Linked DNA regions of Macaca mulatta. The protein of the gene in region 2 binds, or shares a complex with, the protein of the main gene of each other region. Links are inferred from orthologs where the notes say so. Each region holds a gene or a part of one and is shown on either strand. Other genes may lie near its edges. The genes, in order: HDAC3, TBL1X, CORO2A, GPS2, ZYG11B and ZER1.

What was found.
Region 1: TBL1X (region 2) and HDAC3 share a complex: the UniProt entries of both Homo sapiens proteins name them as parts of the N-Cor repressor complex. The link is inferred for Macaca mulatta from reciprocal best matches to the Homo sapiens genes TBL1X and HDAC3.
Region 3: TBL1X (region 2) and CORO2A share a complex: the UniProt entries of both Homo sapiens proteins name them as parts of the N-Cor repressor complex. The link is inferred for Macaca mulatta from reciprocal best matches to the Homo sapiens genes TBL1X and CORO2A.
Region 4: TBL1X (region 2) and GPS2 share a complex: the UniProt entries of both Homo sapiens proteins name them as parts of the N-Cor repressor complex. The link is inferred for Macaca mulatta from reciprocal best matches to the Homo sapiens genes TBL1X and GPS2.
Region 5: TBL1X (region 2) and ZYG11B share a complex: the UniProt entries of both Homo sapiens proteins name them as parts of the E3 ubiquitin ligase complex. The link is inferred for Macaca mulatta from reciprocal best matches to the Homo sapiens genes TBL1X and ZYG11B.
Region 6: TBL1X (region 2) and ZER1 share a complex: the UniProt entries of both Homo sapiens proteins name them as parts of the E3 ubiquitin ligase complex. The link is inferred for Macaca mulatta from reciprocal best matches to the Homo sapiens genes TBL1X and ZER1.

What each region holds. Positions count from the first base shown.
Region 1 is NC_133411.1:150,477,693-150,483,207, reverse strand, and holds the start of HDAC3 (histone deacetylase 3), read left to right. Parts: upstream 1-1,871; 5' UTR 1,872-1,930; coding exon 1,931-1,985; intron 1,986-2,090; coding exon 2,091-2,173; intron 2,174-3,761; coding exon 3,762-3,904; intron 3,905-5,515. Other genes in the region: RELL2 (RELT-like protein 2), read right to left, coding at 282-465. UniProt on the Homo sapiens protein: Histone deacetylase that catalyzes the deacetylation of lysine residues on the N-terminal part of the core histones (H2A, H2B, H3 and H4), and some other non-histone substrates.
Region 2 is NC_133426.1:9,256,503-9,261,385, forward strand, and holds part of TBL1X (F-box-like/WD repeat-containing protein TBL1X), read left to right. Parts: intron 1-804; coding exon 805-926; intron 927-4,761; coding exon 4,762-4,836; intron 4,837-4,883. UniProt on the Homo sapiens protein: F-box-like protein involved in the recruitment of the ubiquitin/19S proteasome complex to nuclear receptor-regulated transcription units. Plays an essential role in transcription activation mediated by nuclear receptors.
Region 3 is NC_133420.1:60,209,577-60,215,018, forward strand, and holds the start of CORO2A (coronin-2A), read left to right. Parts: upstream 1-2,278; 5' UTR 2,279-2,611; intron 2,612-5,442.
Region 4 is NC_133421.1:8,805,780-8,811,160, forward strand, and holds GPS2 (G protein pathway suppressor 2), read right to left. Parts: upstream 3,347-5,381; 5' UTR 3,240-3,346; intron 3,099-3,239; 5' UTR 3,030-3,098; coding exon 2,936-3,029; intron 2,576-2,935; coding exon 2,466-2,575; intron 2,382-2,465; coding exon 2,269-2,381; intron 2,138-2,268; coding exon 2,058-2,137; intron 1,967-2,057; coding exon 1,884-1,966; intron 1,703-1,883; coding exon 1,549-1,702; intron 1,451-1,548; coding exon 1,361-1,450; intron 1,272-1,360; coding exon 1,192-1,271; intron 1,105-1,191; coding exon 1,009-1,104; intron 825-1,008; coding exon 741-824; 3' UTR 645-740; downstream 1-644. Other genes in the region: NEURL4 (neuralized-like protein 4), read right to left, coding at 4,105-4,309. UniProt on the Homo sapiens protein: Key regulator of inflammation, lipid metabolism and mitochondrion homeostasis that acts by inhibiting the activity of the ubiquitin-conjugating enzyme UBE2N/Ubc13, thereby inhibiting 'Lys-63'-linked ubiquitination.
Region 5 is NC_133406.1:187,814,842-187,818,816, forward strand, and holds the end of ZYG11B (protein zyg-11 homolog B), read right to left. Parts: intron 2,355-3,975; coding exon 2,164-2,354; 3' UTR 1,103-2,163; downstream 1-1,102. UniProt on the Homo sapiens protein: Serves as substrate adapter subunit in the E3 ubiquitin ligase complex ZYG11B-CUL2-Elongin BC. Acts to target substrates bearing N-terminal degrons for proteasomal degradation with the first four residues of substrates being the key recognition elements.
Region 6 is NC_133420.1:18,926,038-18,930,920, reverse strand, and holds the end of ZER1 (protein zer-1 homolog), read right to left. Parts: intron 4,218-4,883; coding exon 4,115-4,217; intron 2,102-4,114; coding exon 2,044-2,101; 3' UTR 523-2,043; downstream 1-522. UniProt on the Homo sapiens protein: Serves as substrate adapter subunit in the E3 ubiquitin ligase complex ZYG11B-CUL2-Elongin BC. Acts to target substrates bearing N-terminal degrons for proteasomal degradation with the first four residues of substrates being the key recognition elements.

The DNA.
Region 1 (5,515 bases), on a different chromosome or scaffold from region 2:
ATGCTGGACCTCAGCATTTCAGGGACCAGAAAAGATGGGGACACCAATGCAAGCCCAAGACTACCATCCAGAGGACCCTTGCTGCCCATGCTGCCTTCTCTAGTTTTGCTTTCAGAGTGGTGTCACCCCACTTGCTAACTCAAGAGTGCATCACTAAGCTTCCTGAGCAGGCTTGATCAGGATTTGGCCTGGGTCTGTTGGTCAGGGAGGCAGAGGTGAGGGGCAGAGGTGTGGGGAGAAGGGTGAAAGGTTACTGAGCCAGGGTTCCAGGCTCCACTCACGGGGCTGAAGCTGGGCATCGTCAGGCTCGGAGCCCCTCGACGTGCGGCAGCGGTAGCCCTTCTTCTTGAGCACGTGGCAGATCATGAAACCTACCAGGCCCATGAGGAAGAAGACCAGCACAAGCAGGAAGAGCATATACAGCCCATGTTGGGGCGGTTCCAGGTCAGGCTGTGGTTCCGACATGAGGCCCTGGGGGGCGAGCGCGGGCCAGGGCGCCTCCTGGGTTTAGGAGGCTGCAGCTGGGAATGGGGGAGGGGTAGGAATGCAGTTCTCAGGATCTGAAACAAGCACGTCTAAGACGTTCGGCTAAGGTCCGGCTCCACCCCCTACCCAACCAGGGAGCTGTCCGGGCCAGGGGTGCTGTTTCGTCAATACGGCCCAAGGCAAGAGGTCAGCGGCTACGCAAGCTCTCTACCACGACCCTGGTCCCGCTTCCCCGACGCCCCGAGCGTTCCCCTTTCCAGCTCGTTCGCGCTTCCGTCCCTCCCAAGGACACTGCAGCACGAGATGGGACGGAATTCTTAGGCGGCGGGAGCAGAAATCGTGCCTGAGTCAGCGCCCGCACCTCCTCCGCGCCGGCCTGAGCCAGGCCTCTGCAGCCCCCTCCTCTCAGTACTCCCGCACCCCTCTCCCTTTTTGGTTTCTCCCACCCTGACCACCTGGCCCACCCGGTACCGGTGATTTGGTTCTGGTTCCGGCTTCTGCTCAGGTTCCGGCTCCAGGGGCGTCCTAGTGCGGCTCGGGGCCCCCGACGCCCTTCCGGCGCTCATCCCTTGATTCCTCCCCTCCCCCTTCGCCGCCTCACCGGCCCCGGGCTGTGGCTGCGGATACCCGCGCCGTGGCAGGCGGGGGGAGGGAAGGACAGAGAAGGATGCGGGCTGACTGAGAGCGGCGGCAGGCTCTGGGCAACTCCGGCCCTGGGTCAGGGAGATCGCCTCCGCAGCCGCCCTGGCTTCCCAAATGCCTTCGCCCGTCGCGGGCCCAGGACCAGGAGGCGGAGCGCAGGTGTGCGGGGCGGAGAGCGTGAGCTCTGCGCGCGCGTGACTGCGCCTGGCCCCCCCGGGGCAATGTGTGGCGCCGAGTCTAGGTCCGGGTAGGGGACAGGAGGTCCGGCGTGGGTGTTGTCCACTGGTCTATCCGCTACGCCTGGCGCAGCTCCTGCCCTCAGATGCCCCGACCAAGCGGAGAGTCAGGAATCTTCCCCGAGGGCTGGGGGAAGCCGGCTTTCCGCACCTTTGAGGGACGGCGTGGCGGGATCTTCGGAGCTTCCTAGAGAAGTGACCACGGCCTGCGCCCGGTTTGGGGCAAGCGGCTGGATGGGATGGCTCAGCTTCCCGAGGATCTGACCCCCGGCCGGAGAGAAATGGCCCTTGCATCCTAGGAGCGATGCTACCAGTTCCCCGCCCAACCCGGGACGCTCAAAGCCGCAGCTCCCGGGAGAGCGGAGCCAGGCGAGGGGCGGAGCTCCCCCGGGGGCGTGGCCTGGGTGTGGCTGGAGGCGGGACCGCAACGCCCAGTTCCGCAGAGGCAGGCTACGTGCTTGCGCAGCACGCACGGCTGGGGCGGGGTTGGCGGCGGGTGGCGGGTGGCGGGCCGCGGGCGGCGGGCGGCGGGCGGCGGAGGCGCGGGGCCTGCTCCCGCCGGCACCATGGCCAAGACCGTGGCCTATTTCTACGACCCCGACGTGGGCAACTTCCACTACGGTGAGGAAACAGGGCTATGCATGAGGGTTGGGACGCGGAGGTTTTGAGGCGGGGGTTGCAACTCCAGGGGTGAGAGCTGACGAACTCTTTTCTCCCCACCCCCAGGAGCTGGACACCCTATGAAGCCCCATCGCTTGGCATTGACCCATAGCCTGGTCCTGCATTACGGTCTCTATAAGAAGATGATCGTGAGTTTCGCCGCCTCGGCCGGGGGTTGGGGGGGGGTGGGGCGAGCTGTGGCGGAAGGGATAGGTGGGCTGGACTGAGTGCATCAAGTGCGACCAGCCCCTAGAGTAGCGGGGAGCTGGATAGAAGACACCGGAGTATCTTGAAAGTGCCGGGTGTTGGAGGTGGCGTCCTCTGCTTAATGGAAAGTACTTTCTCAGCTCAGGTCGGCCACCCTCTGACTGTAGGCACCCTAGCCCTTGGCCTAGGGTTAAGGTGATGTGGGGGCTGGTTTGAAGACAGAAGGAGTGTTCCTCCTCTGCATTTTAGAGTGTGGATAGGGCCTTGGCCTCAGGAATTAGGTTTAGGGGAGCGGATATCACTGTATCAGGGTGTAAGGTTTACCCTCAGTTCCCACTCCTCTTTTGCCACCTTTTTTTTACCTCCAAGGAGCTGGGGCTCCAGGGTGGGACGATACTACCGTGTTTCTAAATGTGTATGTGCGTGTGGAAGAGAGGAGATATCTTAGGTATTCCTTTTTCAGCCCGGAATACCTCTACATGGTTCTACTTAATCGCTATCCAGTTTTTCATCTCCCAGACATACACATGCTGTCTTCCCAGCTTGGAATTTATGGCTGTGATATGGCATAGTAACAGTTAAGCCAGGCCAGGTGTAGTGGCCCATGCCTGTAATCCCAGCACTTTGGGAGGCTGAAATGGGAGGATCGCTTGAGGCCAGGAGTTGGAGACCAGCTTGGGCCACAGTGGGACCCACATCTCTACAAAAATAAAAAATAAAAAAAGTAGCCATGTGTGGTGGGTGTGCCTGTAGTCCCAACTACTTGGGAGGCTGAGGCGAGAGGATGGCTTGGGCCCAGGAGTTTGAAGTTACAGTGAGCTATGATCAGCAGCCTGAGTTGACAGGGAGGACCTTGTCTCAAAAGAAAAAATAAGACAAAACAGCTAAGCCCAGGCTTTATGTGTTGCTAGGGAAGCTAGTGAACAATATGAATGAATGTTCATTGCTTGTGCCCAGGCACAGACAAATAGATTGGTCATAGAAAAGACTGAGGTGATGTTAGTGCAGGAATCTTTATCCCTTGAGATTGTTTGCCTATATGTACCTGTGTGCATTTTCTGGGAGAAAATTTGTCCAGTTTTCAAAGAGATGTGACACATCCCCCCGACCTTCCAAAGATAGTAAACTTCTGATTTTAATTAGAAAGTTGACATATATGCCATATATTTGACTCCAGAAAGAAGAATCTGGAGGAAAGAGGACAGAATCAGAGCTTGGGGGAGGAGATGAGCGTGGAGAGAACTGGGAATAGGAGATCCAAGGAACAGGGCAGGTGGATCAGGGCTCAAAGTTGAGAAGGTACAATAGGCTGAGCTGGAGGTGGAAAGGAAAAGAAATGGTCTTCAGGGGGCTCATTCGTAATAACTCACCTGGTTAATTGGAGTCTCTCTATTGACTTAAGGATTGTGGGATGAGGGGAATGCTATATTTGGCTTCATATAGTCTCCAGGGCTGGGTTCAGTATGGGTGGTCTGAGCCTGTGGAGTGGGGCTGACCCTGGCTAGGTTCATCTTGTGTCTCCATCCCGAGGTCTTCAAGCCATACCAGGCCTCCCAGCATGACATGTGCCGCTTCCACTCCGAGGACTACATTGACTTCCTGCAGAGAGTCAGCCCCACCAATATGCAAGGCTTCACCAAGAGTCTTAATGCCTTCAACGTAGGCGATGACTGGTGAGGGAGGACTGGGACTTTTGATGTCTAATAGTTTAATGCCAAGCCCTTCAGTGAGGTCTTTTGGCAGCAGTGGGAAGATCTCAAGGGGGGCCTACTTGTCAATGAATCATAATTCACTTACTTGTTTATTCAATAAATATTTACTGGTCACTTGTTCTAGGCCAGGCCCTGTGCTAAGTGCTGGGAATGCAGTGATGAACAAAACCAAAATTTTAATACTGTATTTTTGCTAAGTCTTATGAAGAGGAGGTATATGACAGATTATGAGAGTATATATGTGGAGAATTGTTTAGCTTGGTGTAGTGGCTGGTCGGTGGGGCCTTCCTAGAGGAAGTAAAGATTGAGCTGAGATCTGAAAAAAGAGTAGAAGTAGTGAGATGAAAGGTGGTTGAAGGGTGAGGGGAGGAGTATAGCAGGCAGTAGGGACAAGTGCTAAGGGTCCGTGGTAGGATTGAGTATGACTCATTTGAGGAACAGAAAAAAGGCCAAGTGCAGAATATGAAGAGGAGGTGAACTGAATTGAGGCTAAAGAAATAGGGCCTTTTTAAAGTAAACAGCTCTATTATGAATTAGGGTTTTTACTCCTAGAGTAGAGGGAAGCTATCAAAGTTTTTTAAAAAGTCCTGATCATAAGAGGGCTATGGGCAGTTAAGAAAACAAAAAAACAACAAAGGAGTGGTTTGATATCGTTAGGTTTACATTGAGCTGGTATCATCCATAGAAGAGTCAGGATTAGACCCTGTGGGGAAAGGAGTGGACAACAAAGATAAGCCATGATCTTTGCTTACACTCTCCTCTACATCCATGAAAAAATAGTAAACATCATAGCCACCAGTTCCTCAATTCTACTTATTTTTGTTTTTAAGCTTTCTATTAGGGAAAATTTCAAAAATTTCAGAAAGTGAAGTAGTGCAGTGACTTCCCATCCGTCACCTAGCTTCAACACTTATGAGCAAATGGCCACTCTTTTTTTTTTTTTTTTTTGAGACAGAGTCTCACTCTGTAGCCCAGGCTGGAGTGCAGTGGTGTAGTCTTGACTCACTGCAACCTCCGCCTCCTAGGTTCAAGTGATTCTTATGCCTCAGACTCCTGAGTAGCTGGAATTACAGGTGCCTGCCACCATGCCCAAATAATTTTTGTATGTTTAGTAGAGATGGGGTTTCACCACGTTGGTCAGGCTTGTTTTGAACTCCTGACCTCAGGTGATCCACCAGCCTCAGCCTCCGAAAGTGCTGGGATTACAGGCATGAGCCGTTGCGCCTGGCTGAGCAAATGGCCACTCTTACTTCATCTATACTCCCTCATGTTAGATTGTTTTAAAGCAAATCCTAGATGTTATATCCTTTTATCCATAAATATTTTATTATGTATCGCTAAATGATACTCTTTTAAAAGAAAAAGTATCATTATCAAATCTAAAAAGTTAAGTGATTCCTTAATGTCATCAAATATGCAATCAGTATTCAAATTTCTGCAGTTGTCTCATAATTATTTTGTAGTTAGTTTAAATCTGGATCTAAACAAGGTCTACACAATGCTTTTGGTTGATAGGTCTCTTAAAACTTTTAATTTGTAGCTTTTCTGTCACCCCCTTGAATTTATTTCTTG
Region 2 (4,883 bases):
ATTTCGTCCCCAAAGGGGTTCTTATTGACTCTAATTATCCCATAGTTAAGGGGATGCCTTAATGTGTTATGGGAGAGTATTTTTCATATTGAGGTATCATGAACATAGGACATGAAATCTTTCCTCTCCTATTTTCTCCTCTCTGTCTAAAATCAAATAAGCTCACTCTAGAGATGCCGCTGGAAGCAGCAAGGTACAGAGCAGGCAGGGTGGCCCTCTCACCTGCCCTTCTTAACTGTGCCATGGGAGCGGGAGATTCTGCAGGCCGTGGGGTGCAGGAAGTGTCATGGAGCCTCTCTCCCAGGACATCTTGTCATCCCTGCCAGTGTGGCAAGAGAGGGTCTTTAAAGTCTTAGAAAGAAAGAGACTGTGTTCACACTTGAGATGTTTTTATCATGTCACTAAATGGGGCTTCTTGGCTGGGTGCAATGGCTCACACCTATAACCCTAACACTTTGGGAGGCCGAGGCGGGTGGATAGTTTGAAGTCAGGAGTTCAAGGCCATCCTGGGCAATATAGCAAGAATTCGTCTCTACAAAAAAAAAAAAAAAAATTAGCCACGCGTGGTGGCGTGTGCTATTCGAGAGGCTGAGGTGGGTGGATCCCTTGAGCCCAGGAATTCTAGGCTGCAGTGAGCCATGATCACACCACTACACTCCAGCCTGGGTGACAGAGCAGGCCCTGTCTCTAGAATAAATAAATAAGTAAACTAAAGAGGCTTCTTGACTGTGCTGTTCATTGTTGTAAATCCATGGAGCTGTGCACACAGTGAATAACTGCAGGTGTTCTCCCTCCCTGCTGCAGCCCCTGCCCTTGATGTGGACTGGCAGAACAACATGACCTTCGCCTCCTGTAGCACAGACATGTGTATCCACGTGTGCAGGCTCGGCTGTGACCGCCCAGTCAAAACCTTCCAGGGACACACAGTAAGTGAGAGCTCTTGTCACTGATCTCGAGTTCGTGAGAATGTGATGTGGGAGCCGATTCTTGTGTGCCTGGAATTAAAAGATACTGCAGCAGCAGACCAGCTCTTCTGCGCCCCTTGGCTATTTGAGCCAAGGTGGTTGGATTGACCCAGTTTGGGGTCAGCAGTGAGAAGTTCACTCAGAAATGACCTAGATGGTGGATTTGGCAGCAAAGCCTTTAAGGTAGCTATGAGAAACATGTAGAGGACATCAAGGAAACGGTGCTCACAATGAATGAATAGACGGGGCACATCTGCAGTGAATGGAAAAAGATATGTCATTAAAAAACAAATGGAGACTAAGTGTGGTGGCTTATGCCTATAATCCCAGCACTTTGGGAGTCTGAGGCCAGAGGATTGCTTGAGGCCAGGAGTTTGAGGCCAGCCTGGGCAACATAGCAAGACTCTTGTCTCTACAAAAAATTTTTAAAAGTAGCTAGCTGCGTATGGTGACGCACACCTGTAGTCACATCTCAGGAGATGAAGGCTGCAGTGAGTTACAATAGCACCGCTGCACTCCAGCCTAGGCAACAGAGCAAGACCCTGTTTCTTTAAAACATAAAAAAAAAAAAAAAGGAATTGAGAACTGAGAAATACAATGTTTGAAATGAAAGTTTTAATAGGTGGGTATATTAGGCAGTTCTCAATTCTCTCATTGCTCTAAAGAAATACCTGAGACTGGGTAATTTATAAGACCGGAGGTTTAACTGGCTCACAGTTCTTCAGGCTATACAGGAAGCATGGCAGCATCTGCTTCTGGGGAGGCTTCAGGAAGCTTCCAACCGTGGCGGTTGGTGAAGCAGGAGCAGGCATCACACATGACCAGAGCAGGGGCAAGAGGTGGGAGGAGTAGCAGATGATCCAGACACCTCACACCAGGGACCACCTCTGCATCGGGGATGACAGTTCCACCTGAGATTTCGGTGGGGACACAGATCTAAAGCACATCAGTGGGTATACCAGCAGATGGGAGACTGTGGAAGTAAGGTTAGAAAGCATAGAAATTGGCCAATTTGAAGAACAGATAAAAGATCGAAAAATTGCATAAAGGCTTAATGACTTACGGGACAATATCAGGGACCCTAAACCTATATGTGTGATGGGGAGAGAAGAAAGAATGGAACAGAAAAATCATGTGAGGCACTAACGGCCAAGGTTTCCTAAATTTGGTGGAAAACATCAACATTTAATCCAAGAAGCTCAGCAAATTTCAAGCAGAACAAATATAAACAGAACCACACCTGTCCACCTAGGCATATGGTCATCAAACACCAGAATCAATGACAGAGAAAATCCTAAAGGCAAGCAGAGACTGACAAAAAAACCCATGATATACCAGGGAACGACAGTGTGAACAACAGCTGACTTAGCAAATTCCTTAGTGTGGCCTCTGAGGGCTTCCCGGTCTTTCACCAAATCTCTCTCAGATTAGCCAATTTCTGTGGTCTCTAACCTTCTGCAATCTCCAATCTGCTGGTAGACCCATTCACTAGCCTCGACCTCCAACCTTGGCAGGAGGAGAAAGCCTCCCTTTCCTGGGCCCTTGGGCTAGTGTCCAAAAATGCCCTGTACCTCTGTCCTCCCAACGACACATACAGCCAAGCACCTTGCCCCACGCTGAGCCTTGCCTGGAACCACAGCAGCTCTTGGTCTGAAACAGAATCCTCCCCACTCTCCAGGCCCGTTCACGTATCCTCTGCACGCCCTGGGGAGGATTCATGGCACCCCTTGAGCTCCCATTGACCACGTGAATGCCACAGCCCTGGCAGTAGCTGCTGGCCTGCATGTCTGCCTCTCCCAGAAAATGCAGAGTGCATCAACGCTGGGACCATGGCATCTTGGCTTTCTCTCACTAGCACCCAGAATATCTCCGCGGTGGCGGGGGGTTCCCTGTTAAAGCAGGGGAGGATGATCACAGGCCCTGGAGATTTGCCATCGTGCCACTAACTTAACTAATGTAAATTCCCTTGTCCTCATTCTCCTAGTGTCTACCTCTCCCTGCCCCTGGCCCAGGGGTCCCTGTCCCAAAGGAAGGTGCTTTTAGAGCACAGGCACCCATCGTCCTGTTAACATCTGTTTGGCTCCAAACTGACTCTCTTGTCCCAGTCTAAACTTATTTCTCCTCTAACCCTGGACTATCTGCAAATTTTTACCAGCTGCACACACTCTCTGTGGTTCCCAGGTGTCCTGCCCAGGACCTTGCCACCAGCACAGGCCTTGGCCCTTTAAGTGGGTCTTAATGCAGCTGATGGCCCTGAACAAAGCTCTAGCTCAGTGGGGTTGAGTGGAGACCCATGGGCCAGCTCTGGACGTGGCCCAGGAACTTGGGCTTGCATTGCAGAGTGAGGGATCCGCTCCCAGGAAGTTATTTGTTCCTTTGCGTTGGTTTGGCTAGGGACGGCCCATGGTGAGCGGCTCCACATTCCTGGGCCCGTAGGTTTTCCTCTGAATGGCTGCAGTCAGAGCCACCCTTGCTGGCCTTGGCACACACATTTCACACTCACAGACACCTATGCGTGCGTGTACTCACACCCCTCAGCCCCCTCTCCAGCATGAGTGTGAAATTAGTTAATTGTTAGGCCGGGACAGCAGGTGTCACATAGTGGGACTGTACTGGATATATGGGGCCCGAGGGAGCCCCAAGCTGGTACGCCATGTCCCCTCACTTCTCCTGGGCAGGCTGTTCCCCAGCTGAGCCTTTGCCACAGGTGGTTCTTTTATACATGCCTGTCTCGGGAGTGTCCCTGTCTCCCTTGGCTCCCGGGTACATTCATTCACCTTTATTCTGCAGGGTTTAGTCTCGTGGTCCCCAGGTGTCCTAAGTCTGCGCTTTTTGCCACCTAGCTGTGCCGATCATGAACCCCAAGCCAGGATTTTGCCTGTGCCGTGTGCGTTTGTGCCACTCAGCACTTGCCTCTCACTGTCCTTGCACATGTGTGTGTCCGCCTGTGTGTGCATTTGGGTTGCCCATCTTCCACCTGCATCAGTCCTAACCCCGCTTGAACTCCACAATAGCTGAAGGTTCACTTCTCGTATTTACCCCTCCCTCCATCTCCACTCGCCTGCAGGAGAGAAATATCTTCTAATGGGTGTGGTCACGGGGAGGAACTGTTGCACTAAAAGTACGTAAGAGGCCTGGCGTGGTGGCTCACACCTGTAATCCCAGCACTTTGGGCGGTCGAGGTGGGAGGATCGCTTGAGCCCAAGAGTTCAAGACCAGCTTGGGCAACCCCGTCTCTATAAAAATACAATAAATACATACGTACATACATAAATGGCATGGTGGTGCCTGCTTGTAGTCCCAGCTACTTCGGGGGCTGAGGCAGGAGGATTGCTTGAGCTCAAGAGGTTCATGCTGCGAGGACCTGTGATCCTGCCACTGCACTCCAGCCTGGGAGACAGAGTGATACCCTGTCTGAAAAAGAAAAGTGCATAGGAAAGTGATTTTGAAAGGCCAATTTAAAAAGTAACTGGTTTTACTGGTTTTATTTGCTGCGTTTTATGGTACGTGAATTCTTCACTTGCCTTCCTTCCTATCAGGGAAGGTTTTTTTCTTAACGAAATATGGATGAGGGTGGCTGGTGATGTGTGGTATAGGGCTGTGGTTTTATATAAATGAAAAAGGCAAAGTGAGAAAAAGAGGAAACTAGATGGCTGGTTGGGCTGTGCTCTTTGATGTCAGGGTGAAGCCGAAGACCTTCTGCAGTGACGGTGACGCACTGCTGCCCCCTGCTGGAAGGCGGCCTCATCTGCTCACAGGCCCTGATGTCTTTTTCAGACTCTCTGCTCTCTTTCAGAACGAGGTCAACGCCATCAAATGGGATCCTTCTGGAATGTTGCTGGCCTCCTGCTCAGATGACATGACATTGAAGGTAGAGTCGGCATGGCAGGGGGTGGGCTGTTTAATCCCAGACAACTC
Region 3 (5,442 bases), on a different chromosome or scaffold from region 2:
CAAAGCATGCCTTCCCCAGGCCTTAGGCCCCCAGCAAGCTGTGGGCCAACCTGCTCTATAGGAGAGGAAAAGGGAGTAACCCAGGGAACCTCCCTGGGGCAACATCCCTAAGAATAAAGGGACTGGGTCAAAGGAGGTGGAAGGCCCCCCTCCCAACATTCCCCAACAGAAGAGGTACTCACTTCCAGAGATTGCCCATGTTCAAGGCTGCTATCCTCCAAACACAGAGCGCCAGCCCCCAGGCACTGTCTCCTCATTCTTTCTCAACCCCCTCCCTCATGGACATGGGGCCATATCGTACAGAAAGTTCCACGTGGGGCATATAGATGGAGAACTTGTCCCCCACCCCCACCCCACACACATATGTTCTGGTCCTACACAAGATGTTTACCTACACATGGAAGATTAACAAAGCCGGCCATTGGGCTCGGTGGCTCACGCCTGTAATCCCAGCACTTTGGGAAGCTGAGGCAGGCAGATCACGAGGTCAGGAGATCAAGACCATCCTGGCTAACACGGTGAAACCCCATCTCTACTAAAAATACAAAAAATTAGCCGGGCGTGGTGGCGGGCGCCTGTAGTCCCAGCTACTCAGGAGTCTGAGGCAGGAGAATGGTGTGAATCCAGGAGGCGGAGCTTGCAGTGAGCCGAGATCACGCCACTGCTCTCCAGGGTGGGCAACAGAGTGAGACTCCGTCTCCAAAAAAAAAAAGCCAGCCATGTGGGTGCACTGGGAAGGAGGAAGAGGGAGGTTTCCTGGCCCATCCCAATCCACACTAAGGCCTAATAGAAGGTGCTAGCAGATGGGCCCAACTTTGGAACCAGACGTGCTATGTGGTTTTCTAGCTAGGGGATCCTGGGTAGGTCATGACCACTGTGGCGTCAGGTTCCCCATGTGTGCAATCCTGAATCTCGGCTCACTGCAACCTCCACCTCCTAGGTTCAAGTTATTCTCCTGCCTCAGCCTCCCAAGTAGCTGGAAATACAGGCACATGCCACCACACCCGGCTGATTTTTGTATTTTTACTAGAGATAGGTTTTCACCATGGTGGCCAGGCTGGTCTTGAACTCCTGATCTCAAGCAGTCCACCTGCCTTGGCCTCCCAAAATGCTAGGATTACAGGCATGAGCCACCGCGCCCAGCCATCCATATGCTTCTTTGAAAGTTTAGATACCCAACTCTTGCATGCTAACACCAGAAGCATGCGTTCAGCCTGCCTGCTGGGCAGTCCGACTCCAGAAGGCCTGAATCAGAGCTGTAGGCTGAGGGTTTTCAGGACCATACTGCACACTGGGCTTTAGGTGGTAGGCAGGGAGCCCGTCCATCTCTGGGCAGGGGAGTGGTGCAGTGGACTATGAAAGCTGAGTCACATTCTAAGGAGAGAATCAAGAGCTCCCCAAGTACCTTGCCACTCCAAGCCTCAATTTCTTATCTGTAAAATGGAGGTAATAATAGTGGCTAAATAAAGGGGTTGCTAGGCTTAGAAGAAATGATACAGATATGTAAAGTAGTAATAGTGTACTCTGTCATCCACTCCACAGCTATATATTGAGTGCCTACTATGTGCCACGGAGCAGTTCAAGGCCCTCAAGATAACGGTCTTTACTGAACAAAACCAAGAGCTCTTCGGAGACGTGGTGTGGTAGAGTGGCTGTGAGCTTAGCAGCCCTGGGAGCCATACTGCCTGGGGTCGCATGACTAGCCGTGTGATCTTAACCTAGGTACTTAACCTCTGTGTGCCGCAGCTTTCTTTTGTGTTAAATAGGTGAGTAATGGTATCAACCTCATAGGCCTGTGTGACAGTGAATGGAGGTAATGCACAGAAGGCGCTTAGAGCAGTGCGTGGCTCAGTAGTGTTCGGTAGGGGTGGTACCCAAAGGTAGGGCCTCCCCATTGTCTAGTGTCCTCAGGGCTCCCCAGCCGGCGAGGCTGGGCAGCAGCGCCCCCGCTGGTCCCGAGAGAAGGAAGGGCGTCCTCCTCTGCTCCCAGCGGCGCTCCCGGCTCCTCTCCTCCCTGCGGACTGGGAAGCCTCGGTAACAGCTGTAACTGCTCGGGGAAAGGAGCGCTTCCCCGGTCGGGCTCTGCGCGCGCACTGTACCTGTCCGGGATTGTCACATCCAGGGCTCAAACAGCCTTAAGAGGCCGACGCGGTTATTGTCTCCATTTCACCACGGGGGAAACTGAGGCTCCCGGAGGTCAGGTTCCTCATCCCACACCACGCAGAGAGGGCACGGCGGGACGTGGGGCCGGCGGCTCTGCTTGTCCCCAGCCTCCGCCTGGTGGCCAGCAACCCGCCCCAATCACTGCGACGTGTGCGCGCCTGCTCCCAGCACGTGTGCGCGCCCCGAGACCCGCCCCGGGAAGCCAGGAGCGCGGTTGGGGTCGTGGGGGCGGAAAAGGGTGGCCAGGGCGGACCCGCGGGGCGGGCGAGAGGGCGGACCTTTGGCCGGGCCCCCGCCCCGCCTTCCAGCCCCGCCCGCCGGGCTGCAGAGGGAGGCGGCGGCGGCTCTGGGCGCCGGGAGTCGGCGGGCGGCGAGGAGCGCGGAGCCGGAGCTGGACGCCGCCGCCGCCACCGCCACCGCCACCACCACCTGCGCGGCCGTCATCAAGGTAGGGCGGCCCCGCGCCGCCGGCCGTGCCTTCCCGGTCTGCGCGATGGGGACGTCGGGCGGGACGTGCGCACTGAGCCCCCCGCGGCTTCAGCTCTCGGAGAGGGAGGGATGCGGGGCTCGGCGCGCGGGGGACCTGGCTTTCAGCCCCTTTGCGTGACCTTGCACAAAGCACTGCTCCTCTTCAGGCCTCAGTTTCCCCGTCAGGATAGCGGGCTCATTGGTGGCCCCCTTCTCTCGGGGTTGTTGGGAGGGGCCGCCCCGAGGTCCGCGCTCCCGACGGCTCGCTGCCCGCATGAGTACTGTCTGCACCTCCCACCCCTCCAGCCCGCGGTGAGGGAAGCGCACTCTGGGCGCGGCCAGCCGGTTCCTACAGGCCCCTGCTGTGGCCCGGGTGCTCCATGGGACTCTTGTCGGGACCCTCCCCCTCTTGGCTGCGTTACCTGCTGGGCCTCAGCTTCCTGGTACAGGAAACGGTGGGGTGGGGGGCATCCCCGGGTCCCCGCCAAGCCGGCCTGGGCGTGCAGGTGGGGCATCAGCCGGCCCACCAAGAGGGTTTACTCGTCTGGGGCTGGAGGAGCCCTAGGTTGGAGGTGGCTGGACTCCTGGCGGCACGACTGCCTGGACCAGCCCCACGTAGGCACCTCGATTTACAGAGTGGTACAGGACAGCTCCTTCCCCTTCCCCACCCGGGCCAGGTGCTGGTGCCTAGCTCTGTGTCCCAGAGCTAGTGTGTGATAAGGTGTGACACACACTAGCTGGTGTGACAAGGGTTGACTGGCGGCCACGCCTGGACCTCAGAGGGGTAACAATGCCAAGGGGCTGTGTCTGCGTGGTATTAAGGGATGGGACAGAGCACAGGTCTGAGGGACTGTGGTCCAGGCTCCCTAGGTAAAGAAGACCTATGGCATCTGGCCCAGCCCCTCTGTAAGACCCCCTCTGGAAGGTCTTGCTGCCCCCTTGCACACTCCTTGTGATGGGGATCTCATTAGTTGTAAACCAGGCTGGAATCTGCTACCCAGTCACTGCCTCTCCTGCTGGTCCTGCTCTGAACACACAAACAACCTCTGACCCTTCCTCCCTCACCCTGGAGCAGTGATCAGGTCCCTTAAGTATGCTCACCTCCAGCCCCAGCAGTTTCTCCCATCAAAGCCCAGGGAGCCAAGGCAAGAAGAGGGAGCTGAGGTGTCTGCCCCAGAGCAGACTGTGGGACCTCCGCTTTCCCGGGGGTTGTTCAGAACCCACCTGTGCCTCAGAACTGGAATATGTCTCTCGAGCTTCCTGCCCCTCCTGGGGACCTTCTGAGAGGTCTGGAGTGAGGAGAGCCGGAGCCCCTCTGCAGGCCTTTCCTGCCCCATGTGGCCTCCTCTCCACCTGCCTGATGCCTGCCCTTTTTGAGGGAGCGGTGTCTAAGAATCACTTCTCAGCCTTCTGGACTTTCTTGTCCCCTTCATGACCTGCCCCGCACCCAGGGACTTTCTTACAGCCAAAAGAGGGCAGGAGGCCCCTGGACAGGTCGTGAGCTCTTTGTCATCACAGGTATGCAAGCAGAACCTGGGGTGAGCTACCTCGGACTGAAAGTCTGTGGAATTCTAGGGCTGAAGTAGTGCCTATGACCTTGCCCTGCGGCCATGGTGGAGCTGCACAGGACTGGGAGCCGGACCACAAATGAGTGTTATTATCCCCTCGTAAAAGCAGGCAAAGTATACGTGCTGGCCCATGAGCCCAGCTCCGACGCACAGGCTTAAGTGCTACCTGGGTCTCCTGTCATCTCGACACATGTATAATCTGGGCCCTGTTTTCCTGCTTGCCTAGTGTAAGCCTTTTTGGCCTGATTTAGGAGCATGGCAGATTCGGGTTATTAAAAAGTCATGCTATGACTTTAATTGCTAATAGTTTTTAAGTGCACCATGGAATTATGGAATGTCTAAGCTGAAAGGAGCCTTAAGACATCTTCTCATTCAACCCCCTCATTTTACAGATAGGCATCCCCTGTCCCCAGAGGGGATGTGACTGGGCAAAGGTCACACAGCAAACCAGCAACCGAGCCCAGGGATCCTGATTCCAAGATTGGAGTGCCTTTTTTTCCCCCAGAAAACACATAACATTTAATAAATGAAAGGAGGCTGTATTTATTCCTGTAAAATTAGGAAAAATAAAAATAAAAGGATGAAACTCTGCGCTGGCAAGGCTGTAGGGATTCGCCTGTGGCATTTAATTTTGCAGAGCAATCTGGTAGCCTGTTGTCATGAAAATGACCCTACTTGCCCTTTGCCTTTAGCCAGCTACTTTGAGGGCTTTATCCTAAGGAAGTAACTATAGAGAGAGACATATGTAGTGCTGTTATTTGTAAGAAGTTGTCTTCTGGCCTGGGCGCAGTGGCTCACACCTGTAATCCCAGCAGTTTAGGAGGCCAAGGTGGGCGGATCACCTGAGGTCAGGAGTTCGAGACCACCCTGGGCAACATGATGAAACCCTGTCTCTACTGAAAATATAAAAATTAGCCAGGTATGGTGGCACATGCCTGTAATCCCAGCTACTCGGGAGGCTGAGGCAGGAGAATCACTTGAACCCGGGAGGCAGAGGTTGCAGTGAACCGTGATTGCACCACTGCACTCCAGCCTGGGCGACAGAGCGAAACAACATCTCAAAAAAATAAAGAAAGAAGTTACCGTCTAGTGAAGAAGTGTTCAGTGTTTTATCTGAGGCTTAATAAACATTTCATTTGACAAATACAACTTAAAAAAATAGTGGCACTGAAGCTTACAGTACCAGAGTCTGGTCAGCATAGAAACAGTTTAATCCAGAAGAAAGACCATGAGACTAAAGTCA
Region 4 (5,381 bases), on a different chromosome or scaffold from region 2:
TGAAGCTGCCCTCCTCTTCTCCCCTCACACTACAGCCCTGGTGGGGGAGAAGGGGGTGGGTGCTGCTTGTGGTTTAGTCTTTTTTTTTTTTTTTTTTTTTTTTTTTTTTTTTTTTTTTAAATTCAATCTGGAATCAAAGTGGTGGATTCTGGCAAATGGTCCTTGTGCCCTCCCCACTCAGCCCTGGTCTGGTCCCCTGTTGCCCATAGCCCTTTACCCTGAGCACCACCCCAACAGACTGGGGACCAGCCCCCTCCCCTGCCTGTGTCTCTCCCCAAACCCCTTTAGATGGGGAGGGAAGAGGAGGAGAGGGGAGGGGACCTGCCCCCTCCTCAGGCATCTGGGAGGGCCCTGCCCCCGTGGGCTTTACCCTTCCCTGCGGGCTCTCTCCCCGACACATTTGTTAAAATCAAACCTGAATAAAACTACAAGTTTAATATGAAGCCCCCAACTCAGCTGCTTATTTGAATTAAATGGGTATATTTGGAAGCTACAAAAAGACTGAACTCTGCCACTGAGTTCATGGAACCCGCTGTCTATCACTGACTTGCTGTGGACCTGCCAGTCATCCCCCCACCCCCCAAGCAGCCTTGACCTATTCCAGACAGTTGGGTGGGAGGCAACACAAACAGCAGCAGCCAGGGTCAGTGGCAGGTAGATTTTATTGGCCTGGGACACACGGGGGGTATCCTCACCCACAGTGGGGCAGGGGGCATGATGTTGAAGATATAATCTGATCGTCACTTGTGGTAGAATCGCGGGTTCTGGCTGTGTTGGATGAAGGGGAGCCGAGGGCCAGGTTGGCTGGTAGCTGCAAAGCCCGACTGGCGGTGGTGATGAAAAGAGGGCTTTGTCACTGGGCGTACTCTCCCACTTAATGCCCTACTGGTAACCACCCCCAGAGAGGAAGAAAAACCAGGTGATGTGGGCCACCGGTCCTACCTAATCCTGCTTTTCTGGATCCCTAGTGTAAGGATTCTGACAGGTAAACTTTATTATCATTCTTACCTTTCCTGCTGGTTGCATCTGCACAGGGAGCTGTGGGGAAGCAAGGAGTCCAGGGGCTGGATGCAGAGCCTGGGGGTGCATGGGGCGCAGAGAGGACTGCAGAGAACAGAGTCAGGGCCTGAGGCATACTGAAGCTCCCCTTAACATATCCCTAACCCTGACCTCCCAAGGTGCCATACTCACTGAGTCGGAGAAGCCAGTCTGCTGGTTAGCATGTTCCATCTGCTTTTGCAAGGACAGGGCACCACCAGGCTGGAGGAAACCTACGTGGGGAAGAGGGGCATGTGAGATGAGAATGAAACAGGGAGGGGAGGACCCAGAGAGCTAGAGCTCCTGCATGGGATGTTATCACCTGTCTGAGTGGGCTGAAAGTGGCCGTGCACGGCATAGGGCTGTGGCTGTGGCTGAGATAGGTACTGCACTGTAGGGAATGCTGAAGGAGCTGAGAAAGGAAAAGACAGAGCCATTAAAACCTTTTACTCAATGGCATTCCTCCTTTGACGTTGAGGAAGGCCAAGCCCCATCCCTCCTATTACTCACCTCTGAGCTGCTGACTAGGACTATAAGCTGGCTGTGTGGGCCCATAGTGAGGTGGGGGCTGAGCAGTCCCATAGGCACCACCAGGACTGCCTTGGAATTGTCCATGCTCTGGTGTCCCCGCAAAAGCAGCTGCTGAGCCCACATAGTGCCGGGTCTAAGGAGGGAGAATGAGAATTCGCCTATAAACTTGAAAGCTGAAACCCAGTGACTTGTGTATATCTGTATGCCGCATTTCCCCCTAAACTTAAGTGCTTGATATGTTTGTGACTTGAATACTGGTGGCAAGGATGCATGGATGGAAGCAGTAGGGGCTGGGCATCCAATCCTACTCTCACCGTAAGCACTTGGGGTCCAAACATTTGTTTGGCTCTGTCAGCTGCCATGAGGGTGCCTGGGCGATTGTGTCCTCCAGGGCTCCCTAGAAAGGGAGAAGGGCTTCATGATGCTGAAATGGGAGGCTGCAACCTGTAAGAAGGCCGGTTCCATCAGGTGGTCTCTTTAGTCCTCACCCTGCATGCTGAGGAGATGAGTTCCTGTGTGGACAGTCAGGCTCTGCTGGTATGCAGCTGATGTCAGGGTGGTCAGGTCACTGGAGTGAGAGGAAGGCAGGTCAAAGCTAAGGACAGATGCCTTCTCTTTCGCCATTAAACACTAGTTCTTTTATTACTTGATCCCAGTTCCACTTGGCCCCCATTTCAGTTTTTAGCACTCTGATCCCACCTCTGTTCCTTTCGCCTCCGTTTTTCTTCCTCATGTAAAACTTTCTTGAGCTGCAGGAAAAGCTGATGCTTCTCTTCCTGTAGGGCCAAAAGCTTCTCCTCCAACTTCAGAATCTGGGAGGGAGTGGGAAGAGAAGATGAAGGCAGGGAGAGTCAAGGGAAGAAATCAAAGCTGGGAGAGTTCAAGGGACTGCTTACTTGTTCCTTGGTCTCCTCTAGTGACATTCTCTCTTCCATCTCCTTTTTCTTCCTTCTCTCCTGTTCTTCCTTCATCTTCTGTTCCATCATCTTATCCACCTCTTCTTCCTCTGGAGAATCAGGCAGAATGAAGAAGAGGCAGGGTAGTGAAAACAGTTCCAACGTTAGATTGAAGACCAGCAAAACCCAGTCATCCCAACACGCCTGTGCGCTCTTTGCCTCGAGGGGACAAGCTCCCCCATCGCTGCAATAGGGAACGGAGAGGCTTTATCAGGTGCTCTCCAAGGTCCTTCCCGTCTCAAGGGTTCTGGAGCGTGGACCAGGACGCTTAAATCCCACCACAACGGGGCTATTCCTTCCCTCCTCTGCGCTCGGCAGCGGGCTCACTGGTTGGCCGCTGGGTTGAGGCCAACCCTGAGGTACAGGAGCCATTCTGGGCCGTGTGTCCCCCCGCTATGGCCCCGGCTCACCCTGCCGCTTGCGCTCCCGCTCCATCATAATGTGCCGGTGCAGCGCCCTGGCCATGGCGTTGGAAAGCTTGGGGCGCTCCAGGAGTGCGGGCATGGTGCTGCCGTGGGCGCTCGGGCCGTGGGCGCCCGGCTCTGTCTCTGACTGCCAGACCTCAGACGGCGCCTGCGGGGAGGCGGGCGCTCAGAGGGGACCGCGCCCGGCCCAGGCGGAAGCCCGTCCGCCCGACCCGCTAGCCGCCCCGGTCACGTGTCCCAGGAGCCCGCCACCCGGCCGGGCCCGCAGCCCCCGCTCCACCGCGCGCACGGGCGGCGCCGGGATCCCCGACTCGGTGCTGCCGCTCCCTGCCCAGCCAGCCCGGACGCCAGCCCTCCCTACCCGCCTTCTCTGCGCTTTCTCAGCAGCTCCGGCGCGCCCTGGCCCGTACGTCACATCCGGCGGCCCGGCCAAGTCCTTCCGGAGTCACGGCTGCGGCCGACCTCACGGGTTGGGTGAAAGAAAGCGGAAGCGCGCTGCGACGGGTGCCCGCGGCGTCCAAACCCCGTAGCCGGGAACGCGGGCGACGAGGGCTGTAAACTGGTCTTGGCATCCTCAGCTCTCTTTAATTTCGCGGGCCCACCTGGTGGCACCCCAGGGGACGCGGGCTCCGGGGAGGGGCGCGCGAGAGAGAGGCCGAGGCGGAGGCTCTGAGACGGTGTTTATTGGCTCCTTAGAAATCAGAGTCAGTAACAACTGTACAGAGGCCCCCATCTTCCGTGCGCCCACCCTTCCCCACTCCTGCCCGGTGGCCCCGGAAAAAGCAGCTTCATGTGGGCACAGGGAGAGACTCCTCTGGGATTCACAGTAACCAGAAACAAAAACGGAAATAAATTAAGTGATGTGGGGAAGGGGAGTAAAAGGGAGTCATGTTCCCCAAATCAGTGCATGAAGAGGGGTACCAGGGCCTGGAGCTGGGCTCCCACGGCTCCTCCCATCAGACGGAGTGCTGGGCCTCCAGACATGGAGCTGTGCCACTTGCCACCTACATCTGAGAGCCTGCCTACATGCTCCTGCGCGGCTGCCAAGCTCCAGCACCTGCGCATGCCACGAGTCACGGGAATGAGGTGGAGGCAGTCGCCAGAGTCCATGGGCCCGAGGCCCGACTGTGCTTGTAGTATTTGTGTGTCACCCCTCATTCCACCCGTACCAGCAGGGCATAGAGGAGTGTGGCCCCCTTCTCCTTAGTGACCCACTCAAGTTCGGCTGGACTGAAGTGAGGGTCAGGAGGTTCTCCAAGGGCAGCGGAAGGGGGTCCCGGGGTGTAGGAGCCAGGGCGCACACACACCTGGAACGCCACCTGAGCCTGGTGCGTCCGCTGGGATTTGGGGTCCCGGAATCTGTCAAACAGGAAAAAATAAGGGAGTGAAGCTTCTCTCCCCATCACCTCCCCCTTGCAAAGTCTGTTCCAACCACACAAGCCTTGCTGTACCTAGGAAATACTCCCGCCTTATAGGAGCTTCACTCTAGCTGTTCTTTCTACCTGAAATGTTCTTCCTCCCAAAGCCTGCTCAGCTACACCCTTCACTTCCTTCTTCAAGCCTTTGCTCGAATCTCTCCCACCTTCTTACGATGCCCACACCAGCCACACTGCTGTCTCCTTCGCCCCCCTCTTTCCTACGATGCCCACACCAGCCACACTGCTGTCTCCTTCGCCCCCCTCTTTCCTACGATGCCCACACCAGCCACACTGCTGTCTCCTTCGCCCCACTCTTTCCTACGATGCCCACACCAACCACACTGCTGTCTCCTTCGCCCCACTCTTTCCTACGATGCCCACACCAGCCACACTGCTGTCTCCTTCGCCCCCCTCTTTCCTACGATGCCCACACCAACCACACTGCTGTCTCCTTCGCCCCACTCTTTCCTACGATGCCCACACCAGCCACACTGCTGTCTCCTTCGCCCCACTCTTTCCTACGATGCCCACACCAGCCACACTGCTGTCTCCTTCGCCCCCCTCTTTCCTACGATGCCCACACCAGCCACACTGCTGTCTCCTTCGCCCCCCTCTTTCCTACGATGCCCACACCAACCACACTGCTGTCTCCTTCGCCCCACTCTTTCCTACGATGCCCACACCAGCCACACTGCTGTCTCCTTCGCCCCACTCTTTCCTACGATGCCCACACCAGCCACACTGCTGTCTCCTTCGCCCCACTCTTTCTTATGATGCCCACACCAGCCACACTTCTGTCTCCTTCGCCCCACTCTTTCTTATGATGCCCACACCAGCCACACTGCTGTCTCCTTCGCCCCACTCTTTCTTACGATGCCCACACCAGCCACACTGCTGTCTCCTTCGCCCCACTCTTTGTTTCCATAGTCCTTACTTATTACCTTTAAAAATACTAAATACTGGCCGGGCACGGTGGCTCACGCCTGTAATCCCAGCGCTTTGGGAGGCTGAGG
Region 5 (3,975 bases), on a different chromosome or scaffold from region 2:
ATACCTATAAAAATTCCTTAAGCCAATTAAGTCAGCATTAACCCAGTATTTAATATGGTTTTCAGTGACTCTAAATATCTACTTTCTTTTTTGAGTCAGAGTCTCGCTCTGTTGTCCAGGCGCCACCACACCCAGCTAATTTAAAAAAAAAAAAAAAATTTTTTTTTTAGGTAGAGATCAAGTCTCACTATGTTGCCCAGGCTGGTCTTGAACTTCTGGGCTCAAGCAATCCTCCTGCTTCAGCCTCCCAAAGTGCTGGGATTACAAGCATGAGCCACTGCATTTGGACCTAAATACCTACTTTCTTCTTTTTTTTTTTTTTTTTTATTTATTTTATTTTATTTTATTTTTTTTTGAGACGGAGTCTCGCTCTGTCACCCAGGCTGGAGTGCGGTGGCCGGATCTCTGCTCACTGCAAGCTCCGCCTCCCGGGTTTACGCCATTCTCCTGGCTCAGCCTCCCGAGTAGCTGGGACTACAGGTGCCCGCCACCTCGCCCGGCTAGTTTTTTGTACTTTTTAGTAGAGACGGGGTTTCACCGTGTTAGCCAGGATGGACTCGATCTCCTGACCTCGTGATCCGCCCATCTCGGCCTCCCAAAGTGCTGGGATTACAGGCTTGAGCCACCGCGCCCGGCCAATACCTACTTTCTTCTAACTCAATTTTCATTCACATGAAGAAACTCAAAAAAAATTCAAGTCTGATTATTGTGATAATGGTATAAAATGTTTGTCAAAAAATGTCATCAGTGAACTAATAAACTAGCTCCTTTCTAAATTAAAATGCTTCTGAATAATCATTATAATTTAAATATTCCATTTTAAATACCTATTGAAAACACTGGCCATCTATGAAAAAAAAATGTGGTTATCTGCGATTGTAGTAGATTGACCTTATTCACAAAATAAAATTTTAAATGAAAATTAAGTTTCTTGGTGACTTGCTATCTCCCAAGTGCTATTACTGATATAAGTGATTCTTTACTATACTGTATCAGATACCTTAAGGAAAGGTAATTGTCTAAAAAATAATCCATCAAAAATATGTGCTGTTATGCACTGTGAGTAGAGTCATTACATTTAACCACTTAAAAAGTTTAATTCTTTTCTTTCATTTTTGGCAGACGGGGACACTTTCTCCAACATGAACACATTAAGAAGATAGACATATTTTGAACAAGAGATTTTAACTTTTCATGGCAAAATTTACTGGTGTCAATTGTATTTTAACTGAGAGGTTAACACCATGTTGTTGACTCTATTCCACTGAACAAAAATGATTTTGAAATAGAGGAAAAGAATAGCCAGTTTTGACTGGCGATAATTTTTTAAAATCACATTTTCACAACAATACGACATAGGGAGATGTAGACAGTCTTTAACACAGAGTGCTGTAATATTTTATACTGTGGTGCTTGGAGAAATATTCCTAGAGAATAACCAGCAGTCTGTGCAGGAAGCAGCAGTCCACGCTTCTAGGTATAAATATGGAGAACAAGCTTCTGCTCACTGCCTCAAGAGAGGTAGACTCCTGAAGGGTAGCCTGTCTCATTTTAAAATCTACACCATGAAAGCAATTCCCAGTTCCTACACTCCGTTCTCCTTTCATAGTTTTTCTTTCTCATACATCTTTCCACCAGCCATCCAGGCTCCTGCCAGTGATTAGCTTCTACAAGATGATCCACATTTCCCTTCTTTCACACTAAGAAGGACATCTTATAAAAGATACACAGATAGAGAAGAAAGCCATTTTATACAGAAGCAGTATAAAATTTACAACTGAAGCAGTGTCAGAAATCAGGTCAACAGCTTATGTGAAGCTGCAAATTGACTGGAAGGGACTCGAAAAGTCTGGCCTGAGGGTTCGTGCAAACTTTACCATAAAACTGTAGAATCTCAAGCACAAGTAAGTTCAAACACTGAAAGATGTGGAAAATTTCCTAAAAGGCAATGATAAAGGAAGAGACCCTTCTTGACTCATAAGTTAAAAATCACAAGACAAATTAGGGACTGTTCACATGGGCAGTACTATACATTACCAATCCCAAACTGATTTTATGACTCCGGTCATAGAAACCCCCAAAACATCACGGAGGGTAAGATATTCCAAATGGACCAATCACAAAAAGGATTCCTGTAATTCAATTATCCAATACTTATGGCTATCAATTTAGTCTGGCTTGGGGCTGTTTTTTACAGGGAGGTGGCCTCCCATGGCGCACAATGTGTTTTTCTAAGCTATCCAGAATGGCCACAGCAATCTGTTGGACATGGGGATCAGTATGTTCATGATCTTTGATGTTGTATAAATGCTGCAGTCCTCCTTCTTCAATCAGCATGCTGCAATACCTTGAAGCTGGAAAAAAAAAAAAAAAAAAACACCACAAAACAGGAGAAATAGCTTTTCTTAAAACACTTAAAATTATTCCACAAAAAAATGACTTCTAGGAGCCATTTTTTTTAGGTGTTTTGTTATTGATTACTAACATGTTACAGCTTGATAAAAACCTCTATACTGAGTTATGTCTACAGTGCAAGGCCTACACATTCAATCAATAAATAGCTAGCTTGCTTTTTCTAACCTCAAGACATACACAATCTGTATTAAAAAAAATAAAAGCAATCTTAACTACCTTATCTTTGACCCAAAATCACAGGTAAGTGTTGTTATATTTTTATGCATTTCCTATGCTTTTTTTTTTTTTTTTTTGCTTTTTTTTTCAGACAGAGTCTTGCCCTGTTGCCCAGGCCCGAGTACAGTGGTGCAATCTCGACTCACTGCAGCCTCCGCCTCTGGGGTTCAAGCAATTCTTGTGCCTCAGCCTCCCGAGTAGCTGGAAATACAGGCACACGCCACCACCCCTGGCTAATTTTTTTATTCTTAGTAGAGATGGGGTTTTACCATGTTGTGTAAACTGGTCTCAAACTCCTGCCCTCAAGCAATCCTCCCGCCTCAGCCTCCCAAAGTAATAGAATTACAAGGCATGACCCACAGTGCCAGGCTGCATTTCCTATGTTTTTTAAAAACCTAATGGCAGTCATACTGCACATACAATTTTTTAATTTTTGAAATATTTTCTTTGCCTTTTTTATTTTTTTTAAGACAGTCTCATTCTGTCACCCAGGCTGGGGTGATCATGGCTCATGCCCAGCGGTGTGATTAGCTTGCTGTGTTGCCCAGGCTGGAGTCCAATGGCACAATTTTGGCTCACTGCAACCTTTGCCTCCCGGGTTCAAGCAATTCTCTTTCCTCAGCCTCCTGGGTAGCTGGGACTGTGGGCACCAGCCACCACACTTGGCTAAATTTTTGTATTTTTGGTAGAGGCGGGGTTTTACGAGGCTGGCCAGGCCGGTCTCAAACTCCTGACCTTAAGTGATCTGCCTGCCTCAGCCTCCCAAAGTGCTGGGGTTACAGGTGTGAGCCACCACACCCAGCCAGGTTAAAACATTTTAATACAAATAGAAGTGAATTCCATTTAAATATAAACAAAATAAGCCCACAAGGTAGGAACCTAAAATATCTTGAGTTGGAGACCAAATATTCTAACATTCCCCAAATTACAGTGCATTTTAGAAGAAATTATTTAGGGCTGTCATTCCATAGAGTAAAATCAAAATAACACTAATACCTAAAAGTATTGACAAAAATAAATACTTGTATGAAAATGAACTATTATTATTATTATTATTATTTTTTTTTTTTTCAGACAGAGTCTTGCTCTGTCGCCCAGGCTGGAGTGCAGTGGCGCGATCTCGGCTCACTGTAACCTCCACTTCCTGGTTCAAGTGATTCTCCTGCCTCAGCCTCCCAAGTAGCTGAGAGTACAGACGTGTGCCACAACACCCAGCGAATTTTTTGTATATTTAGTAGAGATGGGGTTTCACCGTGTTAGCCAGGATGGTCTCGATCTCCTGACCTTGTGATCCACCCGCCTTGGCCTCCCAAAGTGCTGGGATTACAGGCGTGAGCCACCACG
Region 6 (4,883 bases), on a different chromosome or scaffold from region 2:
CAGCCTCCATCTTTTCACTGGGTTTGGCTGCACTCTGGCTCTTGTGAGAAGCCTCCTGGACACATGGGGACACCGTGCTGGCTCCTTCCCTTCTCCCTAAAGCACTGTGGCCCAGCGGACTCCAGGCTTCCCTGACCTGCCTGCCCACTCCCTCCGCTGCCTTCTCCCTGCTGGTGGCACAGAGTCGTTATCTTCTATTTGCCATCTGTCTCCCCCATCAGGCTGAGCCATCCTGGGCAGGCACCCTGTTGGTCTGGTTGCCAGTTGTGTCCTCAGTGGGCACAGGGATGTGAAGAGAACGCATAGGAAACAGGTACTCCAGCTCAGTCCCCTGCCACCTGTCCCCAGCCTGCAGCCCTTTAACCTACCAAACACACCCCTCCCTACCACAGAACTACCCACACTGCCGTCCCCCTGCCGGGGGTGGCTCAAGTCCTGCTCCAGAGCCTGGAAGCCAGGCTAGCAATCCCCTCCACAAAAAAAGACGCTCTGTTCTCCATTTTGCACAAAAATGTATTTCTGTGACATCCCAAAGTACAGACATTTCCCCAGGCCCCAGGGGGTAAAGCAATGAGGTGTGAACTCTGCCAGGGTCTGGCCGGGGCCACTGAGCGTGGGATGGAAGGGAGCGCTGCATGCAGCCCATCTGCCAAGCTGGGGGAACACAGGGCTGCCGCCCACTTCCCAGGACAGGGAGGGAGAGGCTCTGGGAGAAAAAGGCCAGGTGTCTCTCCCAAAGCTGCTCACCCATCCCGTCCTGCCTGGAGGCGGAAATGCTAGGAACACCTGAAAACAGGCCGGCAGAGGGAAGAGGGAAGAAAAAGCCATCATCCAAAGGCTGCCTCCAGGGTTAGCGCTGCTCCCCAGGCCCCTGTGATCCACAAGTGTCCGATGAGAAGCAAGGCAGCGTCCACCGAGGGAGGAGCACAAGAGAGCCGGCGCCTCTCAGGCTTCCAAGGTAAAGCCGAGGGCAGGGTGGGACCGCCAGAGAGGCCCAAGCAGCCACTGCAGGGCAGTCTGAGTGCTGGTCTGGAGGCGGCTGTGTGGCCGCTGTGGGTCAAAGGCTGGCGTGGGACCTCTGCCTCTGAGAGGCGTGGGGTCCTCTGGGCAGCGGGGCAGGCTGGGATGAGGAGGCAGGCTCAGTTCTGCTGGTGGGAGCGCCTGGGCAGTTGAAGGCTGTGGAGCAAGGAAGCAAGCCCCTGGCCCCAGAAGATGCTGGCTTCCAGGGCAGGGGGCAGGTTCTGGATGTGTTTTGGCAGAAGGGGCAGTGGAATCTGCCCCCGAGTTCTGACCATCCCTGGGCTGGGGCTTTCCACAGCCTGGGACCTGGTGGGAGACTAGGAGGCAGCCTCCATAGCAGCGTGGCCTCAGGCAGGCCTGGCCGGACAGCAGCAGGGCCACTGGGCGCCCTGCTCCTGGAAGGTCTTCAGGGGCAGGGCTGCCTGGACCTTAGCCTAGGAACAGCTCACTTTCTTGCCCCAGATGGCCCACAGCTGGGAGCACCAAGGCTTTTGGGAGACCCAGTGGGGTAAGTTCTAATCCCCAAACCCCATCAGCTGTGCCCGGGAGCCGAGATGGAGTTCTCAGGCATGGGCAGTGGGTCAGGATGCTGGATACACTGTCCAAGGCCTGCTCCTCTCATGAAAGGAAGCCAGACTGGGGTCTGAGTTTCCTGGACAAGGACTGGATACTCACAGCGTTATAGGCATTTAGTCTGGTTGGGGTAGGAGTGAGTGTGTCAGCGATGAAGGCTGAGTGGGTTTGAGAATGGCCAAGGAAGCTGCAAGGACTCAGGAGTGTTGCTTTTGTTTTTGTACAGAAATCATACACACAAAACTTCACACTTCCTAACCAAAAAAAAAATATATATATAATATATATATCTCACTAATGTTAAGGAAAAGCGTCGGTTGTGCAAAAGTCCCCCATGTCTCTTCACTCCGTGGGGGGCTCCCTCGGAAGGGGACTGCCCGCTGGGCTGCTTGAGCACGCTTCCTCCCCGCCTGTGGTCCAGAGCGGTGGTGGCCATGGGGGTGGAGGCCTCTATCTGGATGTGTCCATGTTTTCCTCTTTAAAGTTACTGCAGTGCTCAATCACCTTGCTGGAGACAATGAGGGAGACAGGATTGGAGGGTGGGCTTGGGTGGGTTGAGCCCAGCCCCTCCGAGGTCATCACGCAGCTGGGTAAACACGTGTTCACAGTGATGGTGATGCTGACTGAATGATGTGGATGGAGGGGTTGGCAGAGTGGCTGGCATGTGCAGGGGACTCAGGGAATGGCACCTGTGGCCGTGAATGCCATCACCAGCTGTCCTCCGCTTCCTTCCTTCCCACCACCCCCAGTTCCAGGGCATCTGTGGATAGGGGTCCCCAAATCAGCTCAGGCCTGACCTCCAGAACCCTTTGGAACTTTCTTCAGTGACCTCTTCCTTCTTCATTTTCCCTGCACACCAGACCCTTCTCTTTCCAGAAGTCCACCAGTGGTCCCCAAACTGACTGCACATCAGATTCCCCCAGAGGCCCGGATCCAGTGGCAGGTCCAGGGTGGGGTGGGGACAGCTGTGTTCGCACAAGGGCCCCCACTACCCTGTGGCAGCTGGGGCCCAGCACTCCAGCTCAGATTTCAAGTCTCACCCACCCCAGCCTGACCCCTGCCACCCATCACTGTCAGTTGTCACCTTGGAACCCGGAGAGCTTGCCCATTCAACACCAAGCCTGTGGGTTGGGGGCTTCACTGCAGCCTCTGTGTGTTAAAGGGGTGCCCCAATACCTTTTAGGAAGCAAATTCCCAGAGTGGGAGAGGGGCCAGTGGACAGGCCGAGAGCCTTCTCCTAAGCATCATCCAGGGTCATTTACTCCTTGCTGTCAGATAGGCCAGTGCCTCAGATTCCCATCACAGGCCTTGGACACATGTTCAAAGTGACTGTGGTAGGTAACTGGTCAGTCTTACCCAGTGCTTCTCAAATTTCCCGGGAATCCCTGTTAACCATGAAAATTCCAGGGCCACCTCCCACCTCCCAGATGCACTGGAAAAGAAAACCTAGGGGTGGCTCCTGTCCATTTATTCTTAAATTTTATTTTTTTGAGACAGAGTCTCGCTCTGTTGACCAGGCTGGAGTGCAGTGGCACCATCTCGGCTAACTGCAACCTCCGCCTCCTAGGTTCAAGTGATTCTCCGCCTCAGCCTCCCAAGTGGCTAGGATTATAGGTGCGCACTACTACGCCCAGCTAATTTCGTATTTTTAGTAGAGATGGGGTTTTACCATGTCAGCCAGGTCTCGAACTCCTGACCTCAAGTGATCCACCCACCTCAGACTCCCAGAGTGCTAGGATTACAGGTGTGAGCCCCTGTGCCTGGCCAGCAGTGCCTTTGGGCAGATATAATAGAACCAGGTGACATTTCCCTGCCTGGGCCCAGGAAGTGGCTGTCTGAGGAGCCTCTGAGTTCCAGGCCCCTCCTCCATGTGACCTTTTGCTCTATACAGAGACATGAAAAAGTGTGCTGGGTCAGCTTGACTGTTGTCCCTTCTAGAATGAATCCTGGAGAAAACAAGGTCGTTTCTGACGATTTCGACATGTCACATCCCTGAGAGTCTCTCCTGTCCTGATTGACTTGAGAACTGGAGGGAGTGGCATTTTAGACACTGCAGTGAAAGCCACACAGCCACAGAAGGCCGGGACTCTACCATGTTTGCGACCTTCACATTCAGCAAGCTCACTTGCACTCTGCCTCGTCTCATCTCCAGAATGTATTTGACCATACCATGTCCCTTCTTTAGTGGGAACGTCTTTGGCCAAACAATGAAAAGTTCTGACCTCACTTGCTAATACCCGGTGATAAAAGGATGGAATTTGTTGGGAATAAAATAAAACGAAGCTTACAAACGAGGGCCCTGATGCTCCGTTCAGAGCTTGGTCATCTAGTTTCCAGCCATACTGTGGTCAAGATGACATTTGGAGAGGCCCCAGCTGGACATCAATACACTGTCAACCTCTGTACTCAACCCCAAGCTGCCCCGGGAATTTCAGTCATTCCTAACCTCCAGAGGGCGCCCGCTATGCCCTTACTCCCCCAAATCAAGGTTCCAGGCAGAAACACACTGCTAGTCTCTTACCGGGCCATTTCCTTGGTCTCCTGCCGTGCGGTCGCCATCTTAATTATGTCCCTCAGAAGGGGCAACCCCCCTTCTTTGATCAGCAGAGGGCAGTACTTGTCCGCTGTGGGATAGGAGCAGACAGCAGAGGATCAGGATGGTCTTCTGATCAGCCCGAGGCCCAGAAACCCACCCTGTCTGTGAGGACTATCCTGGTGCTGGGGGTGTGAAGGCACAGGCCTTGGTGGGGGCAAGACGTGTGCCCAGCCCCATGGGTGGGAGTTCTGCATCCACGTAGGGGAAGCAAGAGGTGACTCCTTGGTTTGAAGTTGCTGTATTTATTTCCAGAGCTCATTCTTTTTTTTAAAAAAAATTTTTATATATATAAAATCTTAAAAATATATATATATATATTATATATATATATATATATTTTTTTTTTTTTTTTTTTTTGAGACGGAGTCTTGCTCTGTCACCCAGGCTGGAGTGCAGTGGCCAGATCTCGGCTCACTGCAAGCTCCGCCTCCCGGGTTTACGCCATTCTCCTGCCTCAGCCTCCCGAGTAGCTGGGACTACAGGCGCCCGCCACCTCGCCCGGCTAGTTTTTTGTATTTTTTAGTAGAGACGGGGTTTCACCGTGTTAGCCAGGATGGTCTCGATCTCCTGACCTCATGATCCACCCGTCTTGGCCTCCCAAAGTGCTGGGATTACAGGCTTGAGCCACCGCGCCCGGCCATAATTTTTTTTTTTTTTTTTTTTGAGACAGAGTCTCACTCTGTCACCCAGGCTG